Linked DNA regions of Macaca mulatta. The protein of the gene in region 1 interacts with the protein of each later gene in a pairwise test. Links are inferred from orthologs where the notes say so. Each region holds a gene or a part of one and is shown on either strand. Other genes may lie near its edges.

What was found.
Region 2: the proteins of RABAC1 (region 1) and SYT16 interact in binary tests that used the Homo sapiens proteins (3 or more experiments, as listed by UniProt). The link is inferred for Macaca mulatta from reciprocal best matches to the Homo sapiens genes RABAC1 and SYT16.

The regions. Positions count from the first base shown.
Region 1 is NC_133424.1:52,998,062-53,002,117, reverse strand, and holds RABAC1 (prenylated Rab acceptor protein 1), read left to right. Parts: upstream 1-1,256; 5' UTR 1,257-1,322; coding exon 1,323-1,378; intron 1,379-1,659; coding exon 1,660-1,872; intron 1,873-2,268; coding exon 2,269-2,366; intron 2,367-3,498; coding exon 3,499-3,600; intron 3,601-3,683; coding exon 3,684-3,772; 3' UTR 3,773-3,921; downstream 3,922-4,056. UniProt on the Homo sapiens protein: General Rab protein regulator required for vesicle formation from the Golgi complex. May control vesicle docking and fusion by mediating the action of Rab GTPases to the SNARE complexes.
Region 2 is NC_133412.1:135,022,036-135,026,014, reverse strand, and holds the start of SYT16 (synaptotagmin-16), read right to left. Parts: upstream 2,805-3,979; 5' UTR 2,593-2,804; coding exon of another isoform or gene 2,466-2,592; intron 1-2,465. UniProt on the Homo sapiens protein: May be involved in the trafficking and exocytosis of secretory vesicles in non-neuronal tissues. Is Ca(2+)-independent.

The sequences.
Region 1 (4,056 bases):
AATAAATAGTAACTAGCCAATCTGATCTTCAAAGTGTAACTCTTCCATCTTCAGTGTGGGGCCCTTGCAAAGGGCTTCCCTGCCTATTGCGCCACCAGCCCCTTGGACAGGGCCATCTTCCCCCCACCTCCTGGGAACGCCTTCCAGCAGGCTTCCAAGCACAAACCCTGAAGTGCCGTAGATCTTGGAAGACAAGACCTGGGCCTAAAAGAGTCACTTGGGGCCAGGCACAGTGGCTCATGCCTGTAATCCCAGCACATTGGGAGGCTGAGGTGGACGAATCCCAAGGTCAGGAGTTCGAGACCAACCTAGCCAACATGGTGAAACCCCGTCTTTACTAAAAATACAAAAAATTAGCTGGGCATAGTGGTGCACGCCTGTAATCCCAGCTAGTTGGGAGGCTGAGGCAGGAAAATCGCTTGAACTCAGGAGGCAGAGGTTGCAGTGAGCTGAGATTGTGCCATTGTACTCCAGCCTGGGCAACAAGAGTGAGACTCCATCCCAGAAAAACCCACAAAACTTCCCAACCTTTTCTCTTTCCCAATTTCACTCCCTCCTGTCCAAAGGTGTGTGTGTTTGCAGGTGGGGGGGGGGGTGGTGGCGGTGCGGAGGTGTCCCTAGTCCCAACTCATTCATCTTTGGGACTCCACAAAGTGGGGCAGGGGGCAACCTCAGATACCCCTCCAGCAACCATGACCCACTCACTAGCCTCAATCTCTTGAGGAAGGAATCAATTCCCACAAACTCTCTAAATCTTTCTACTCAAAATGTGGTCCATGGACCAGCGGCATCAGCATCACCTGGGAACTCAGAAATGCGAATTATGGGCTCCACCCCAGACTTGCTGAATGAGAACATCTGGGGTGGGGCCCAGGAGTCTGTTTTAGCAAGCCCTCTAGTTGTTTTTTTATGCCCTCTAGAGTCAGAACGACAGCTCTGCACGGTCCCCATTGTGCCCTGCCTGGGAGAGTACACAACACCCTCTTCTGCCATTAGAGCTCCCATAACGCCCTCTTTCCTGACAGCGCACCTGCACCCTCCTGAAACTACAGGTCCCACAATGCCCAGAGGTGCGCGCCGTCACTTTCTGGGATTATATCTCCCAAGGTGTCTTGCGAGTCAGACCGCCATCATGGCGCCCACCCTCCCAGCCACCGTCAGGACTACAACTCCCACAATGATCGGCGGCAGAACTACAGTCCCCAGCTGCTCCCGAGCGGCGCCACGTCGACTCCGCTGGGTGGGGCCGGCCTCGGGCGGGGCCGGCGGGGTCTGCAGGGTACCGGGCTGGTTACAGCAGCTCTACCCCTCACGACGCAGACATGGCAGCCCAGAAGGACCAGCAGAAAGATGTCGAGGCGGAAGGGCTGAGCGCCACGTGAGCGAGCCGGCTCTAGGCCCTCGGACCCGAGGCCCGGGAGTCCGGGACCCTGGCCCCCTCCTCCCTCGAGTGCCCGGAGTCCCAGCCCCGAGACGCACAAGCGCTGGCCCCGGTCTCCTCTAATGGGACCCTGGCGTCTGGGCCCCTACCCCCCTCCCCGCCTGTGATTCAGTAATCTGGGGTCCCGGGAGGGAGTCCAAGCCCCCTTAAACCCCTTCTTTTGCGGGGGTCTGAGGCTCCATCCCGGTCCACCACTGACCCGGCCCCACCCCTCGCAGGACCCTGCTGCCGAAGCTGATTCCCTCCGGTGCAGGCCGGGAGTGGCTGGAGCGGCGCCGCGCGACTATCCGGCCGTGGGGCACCTTCGTGGACCAGCAGCGTTTCTCACGGCCCCGCAACCTGGGCGAGCTGTGCCAGCGCCTCGTACGCAACGTGGAGTACTACCAGAGCAACTATGTGTTCGTGTTCCTGGGCCTCATCCTGTACTGCGTGTGAGTGCATCCCGGGCCCTGCACCCGCACTAGCCCCGACCGGGTGGACCCCTCCTCTCACAGCTCAGGCCCCGCCCTTCAGCGCCCGGGCCCTCCTCTCACCACCCAGGGCCCCCTCCTACCGCCCAGGCCCCTCCCCTCACCGCCCAGGCCCCTCCTCTCACCGCCTAGGCCGGCCCCGCCCCCAAGGATTGGCTCTGCTAGACCTACTTTGTCACCAAAGGGCCAGGTCCCTACCCCACCATCACCCTGGCCAGGATGCAGTGTGACTGAATGTCACCTGGCCCTCCCTGGTCTCCAGAATGTAGCTTGCCTCCCGCCGGTGGAGAAGGCCAGGGCTCCCTGGCTGACCAGCCCCAGCTGCCTAACCGCTGCCTCCCTGCACTCCTCCTCCAGGGTGACGTCCCCTATGTTGCTGGTGGCTCTGGCTGTCTTTTTCGGCGCCTGTTACATTCTCTATCTGCGCACCTTGCAGTCCAAGCTTGTGCTTTTTGGTGAGAAACCCCCTGCCCAGATGAATCCTTGGTCCCTCGAATCTTGGTCTTTTGGAATGCAAACCTCAGACCCCAAATCCAAGTCCTTCAAAACCCAAGTCCGCCGAAGCCTAGATGAACACTAGATCTCCCAAACCTGATCCTTTAAAAATCTCAGACACAACCGATGCTCCCATCGAGTCTCAGCCCCCTCAAATTGCTATTCCTCAAACCTAGGCTCCACCTGGCTGCTGTGCCTTAAACCTACTCCTCTTCAAACCACATGACTCCTCCCCTCTCTCCTCCCCTTGCCGCTTTCTGCGGCAAGCATCAGCTGCAGGTGCCCACACTGGACACCAGGTGGCGAACTTACACTGGCCTAGATCTGTTCCCGTTTCTTTTCCTGCTTTCTGGGATGTGACCAGAAAGAACTTGGAACTTGGGGAAGCTGAGGAGTGTGTTTCATGTGGTTCCCAGACTAGTACCAAGGACCACTGGGAGAACAAAATGCCAGGGGAAATTCCCCCCAGGGGAAAATCAAGGTTTGGAGTGGGGTCAAGGAGTTGGGATTGGGCTGTCAGGTAGACCTGAAGGCCAGGCTCTTCAGGGGCCTGCAAGTTATGTGCATGACGGGCTTAGGGGGAGGGAGCGCCTGCAGCACAGGCACCAGAGCATGCAGACCCCATCCCTGAGACTTCTATGAGAAGCCTGAAGTTGGTATTTTTATGTGAAATCATTCACTTTGCCAGCCACAAATCACATCCTTGTAAAACATCTCAAAACAAACACACATCCACAGGTCAGATTTGGCCCTTGGGCCACCAGTTTGAGACCCCTGGTCTGCGTGAGGGTTGCAGCAGGAGAGCCCTAGTCTAGGGAGCAGGAAGCTGGGATCCCAGGAACTTCCTGGAGGATGTGGGGCAGAGGGCAGAGCGTGGGGCTGAGGCAGGCGAGGACGGTGTGCTGTGTTCTGGAGGGCAGTGAGGACACCAGGGGAGCAGGGTGACCCCAGGACCTGGAGGGCCTTGGCATGAGGAGTTTGGATTTGATCCCGAGGACCTGAAGCTTATACAGATTGTTGGGGGGCAGCAGGGGTTACTCTGGGAGAGGGCATGAAGGGTCGGAACAGCGCCCCAATGCCATCTGCTTTCAGGCCGAGAGGTGAGCCCAGCGCATCAGTACGCTCTGGCTGGAGGCATCTCCTTCCCCTTCTTCTGGCTGGCTGGTGCGGGCTCGGCCGTCTTCTGGGTGCTGGGTGAGTACAGGGTCTGAGCAGCTGGGGTGGATGGTGGGGGCCAGGTACAGGAGCATGGCCCTGAGCTGCCGGCTTTCCTGCAGGAGCCACCCTGGTGGTCATCGGCTCCCATGCTGCCTTCCACCAGATTGAGGCTGTGGACGGGGAGGAGCTGCAGATGGAACCCGTGTGAGGTGTCTTCTGGGACCTGCCAGCCTCCCGGGCCAGCTGCCCCGCCCCTGCCTACTCCTGTCCTGCACAGCTCTGCTGCTCGGGCCCATAGCGCCGTCCCATCACAAGCCCGGGGAGGGATCCCGCCTTTGAAAATAAAGCTGTTACGGGTGTCATTCAGGAAATACTCCCCTAGCATCTTCTGTGGGTCTCTATGGGTGCAGCTGGGAATACTGTGCAGATCAGGGTTGGGGTGGAACCTGGGGTGTGGGCAAGATGATAAGGTAAACAGGTAAAATATTAATG
Region 2 (3,979 bases), on another chromosome or scaffold:
AATAAAAAAAAGGAGACAGCATACATTTTGCAGAAATTATTAATATGTCATATTCGAAAAAAATAACGGAGTTGGAGGGCATATATTTATATGGATATGAATGACAGCAAGTAAAAGTAGAAATAGCTACCATAATGGAAACATACTTGTCAAATTTGGAACAGACAGCTTCTGTTCCGTAAGACTAACCTTTAAATGAACGCAAACAGAAACTGAGGACTCACTCAAATTGTACAACAGCCTCTGTATTAAAAAGCAACAAAACCAGTGTGATGCATGGTTTGGCATGGAGCATGACTACGGACAAGGCACATCAGAGAAGGCACAGCTTAGAAGAGAAAAACACAGGGACAGAAAGACCAAGGACGTCGCTAAGTGCTGCCAGAGCCATTCTTGATTAAAGCCTCCACAAATATTCAGTAAAGAAAAATTCTTAGCTAACTCGGGCCATTACAAGCTATATTACATATAATTTGCTTCCAGTTTTACAGTAGTGTGGTACATTGAATGGTAGACCCAGAAAGACATCTCCACATCCTAACACTCATCATCTGTGACTACGAGCTTACTTGGGCAAAGGGGGTCTTTGGATATGTAATTAGGTTAAGCAGCTTGAGATAACATTGTCCCAATGAGTCCCAAATCCAGTGACAAGTATCCTTCCAAGAGTCACACGGAAAAGACACACAGGAAGGAGAGAGGAAGACCATGTGAAGATGGAAGTAGAGACTGAAGTTATGTAGCCACAAGCCAAAACACAACTGGAGCCATCAGGGGAGATAAACAAAGATTCGCTCCCCGGTGCCTTCAGAGGGAGCATGGCCCTGCCAACACCTTAATTTCAGACTCAACTCTAGAACTGTGAAAGAACACATTTCTGTTGTTCTAAACCACCAAGTTGGTGGTAATTTGTTATGATGGCCACAGAAAAAAAGTAGTATATGCACTATATACGATGGAATAGTATCTCTTATGGAGTTTTAAAATAAGAACATAAAGTAAAAGTTGCATGTAGTCTAAAGTACCTTGAAAATCCCCTCTGTCACTCTGAAAGTACTCACAAAAATATCCATTATGGTTCATTTTGACTTTGTGCTTAAAATGAATTGATGGGGCCAGGCACGGTGGCTCACACCTGTAATCCCAGCACTTTGGGAGGCTGGGAGTTCAAGACCAGCCTAGACAATATAGGGAGACCCCCATCTGTACAAAAAATTAAAAAGTTGGCCAGGTGTAGTAGCATGTGCGTGTGGTTCCAGCTCCTTGAGAAGCTGGGGTGGAAGGATCACCTGAGCCCAGGAGTTCAAGGTTGCAGTGAACCATTATCACACCACTGCACTCCATCCTGGGTGATAGAGCAAGACTGTCAAAGAGAAGAAACAAAAGAAAGGAAGAAAGAAAGAAATGGATTGCTGCTTTTTGGTTGAGCCACAGTCACCAGATGTAGAAGCTAGCTTGCATTTCAGGAACACTTACCAAAAACTCCTGTATCTCTCAGTATTAGATTTTCAATCAGAAAAAGATGTTCATCACCTGAAGGCAACATGGAGCTCAGACTACCAAGAAAGCAATACAATCAGACCTTTCTTCCAACCCTGCTCAGTTTGGAGCAAATGTTCATCAAGAAAAATTAGAAAACAAAACTGTCCACTTATTAAAATTGTGCTCTCCATTTTATTTCAAATTAAATGAACCCCATTAAGTTAGATGTCCATCTAATTCCTATTCCCAATGTGATATAATCGAGTGTTTTCTCATTTTATGGAACCTAAAAAAATACCTGAAATGACTTTAAAAAAACAAACACAGGCCTTTCCACAGAATATTCTGATATAATAGGTCTAGGAAAGTCTGAGAATCTGTATTTCTAATGAATGGCAGATAATTCTTATGATCAGACAAATGTGTGAATCACTGACTGAGTCCATGCCATATGTTTGATTCTCTTCAATCTGGCTTATTGTCTTTTAAGTCTCAAAGGAACACTTTGTGAGTTCACCAAGCAACTAAACCTGGTACACCTAAATCAACTTTGCAGTTAGCACACTGGTGGAAAAACTGAGAAAAGGGGAAAGACAGGTAAACAGCAGCCTTTAAAGGTCAAAGGCTGGTCTTGTCCTACAGGGGTGGCTCACCACGTACTCAGGTGAGGACTGTGAAGTATAGTATTAAATGATCAACAGGCTCTTAAAGTTGCAAGAGCACGGCTGCATACACACCTCCACCTAAACACACACAAAAAGTCTCTCATGCTCTGTCTTCTTTGCATATGGTCCTAAAGATCCTGCGGCACCTGAATCTCTTTGTAGGAGCATGACATAAGCTCACTTTATTCAAGTGATATTTCTAAGAGTTAAGAAAAAATTGTGGAGAAAGGATATTGTGGTAGCCAGTCAGCCTTTAGGATGCACCCCGCTGGGGTTCACATCCTTCTGCATTCTCTCCCCATATTGTGCCAGGGTTACCTGTGTGATTCGTAGGATACGGAAAAATTGATGGCATGTCATTTCCGAGGTAGGCCATAAGGAATACTGTGGCTTCTGCCCTACTCTCTCTTCTGGATCCCACACTCTGAGGAGATGTAGCAGCCATATTATGAGCAGCCCTGTGGAGAGGCCCACACGGTGAGCAACTGTGGCCTCCAGCCAACAGCCATGTGTGTGAGTCTGCTTGCAAGTGGATCCTCCGACGCCAGTGGAGGGTCTAACTGCAGCCTCAGACAGACCCTGAGCCAGAATCACTCAGCCAAGTCACTCCCAAATGCCTGATGCCAAAACCTGTGAAATAATAAAAGTTATTTTAAGCTGCCAACTTGTGGGATAATTTGTTACATGGCAAAAAGATAATTAATGCAGATTTCATTTATTAATGAAGTACATTTTCATTGGCAATAATCACTCATAAGAACGTCATCTCTAGTTAATATACACGTCTCACTCAGGAAACACAAGCAGGTGTTTTACTGAAAACACTCAAAGCAACCATAACCAAGAATAAAATGATCAAATATTTAAAAGCTATTTGCATGATGCACTTGAACTCAAGTTTCGATGAACCAAGCAGCTATTGAAGGAACTAAATCACTCTGCTCAGCTCACCTTGCCTTTAGAGCAGTTCTTTTAGTTGTAATGACAAAGGGAGCTTGTCTCTGCCTCGACTAGGCTTTTGGAGCAGAAATTCCAGGTATTTTTTATAGCCATCATAACTTCTAGCACAGGGTATGAATAATAGGCATTTAAAACAGTAATTTACCTGTAAGATGATTTCTAATTTTTAGAATATGAGCTCTGTGAGACCCAAAGTGCTGTGTGTCTCATTTACCATTGTGTCCTCAGAGCCTTGTGGAGCTCCTGGTGCATCATGGACAGAGAGTACAAGTACTGGGAGGGAGGGAGGGAGGGAGGGATAGAGGGATCGACCGAGGGAGGGATGGATGTATAGATAGATGGAAGGAAGGAAGGAAGGAAGGAAGGAAGGAAGGAAGGAAGGAAGGAAGGAAGGAAGGAAGGAAAGAAGGAAGGAAAGATGGATCAATGGCTGGAAGGATGGACGGAAGGATGAAAGGAAGGAAGGACAGAAGGAAGGAAGGAAGGAAGGAAAGAAGGAAGGAAGGAAGGAAGGAAGGGAAGGAAGGAAGGAAGGAATATTTTTAGTTATTTAGTGTAGCTGTTTATTTATATCATTTTAGAATTTTCACATCGGAGCTAGGAGCAAGAAGAAACTAAAACTGCATACTCTAGTGCTTAGGAAAGTACTGAACATATAGGAGATGATTTACAAATATTTGCTTCAGGCCATGAAAATAAGAGAAGGAAAACTATACTAAAAAAAGCTGAAGAGCGAGAAAAGAATCTGAAATGCTAAATCAGTGAAAAATCCTTTTTAGCCAATATGCTACAAACAGTACAGAGCCCTAACAAGAATATTCGTATTTACTCAGAAGGCTGAGATGGGAGGAACGCTTGAACCCAGGCATTCG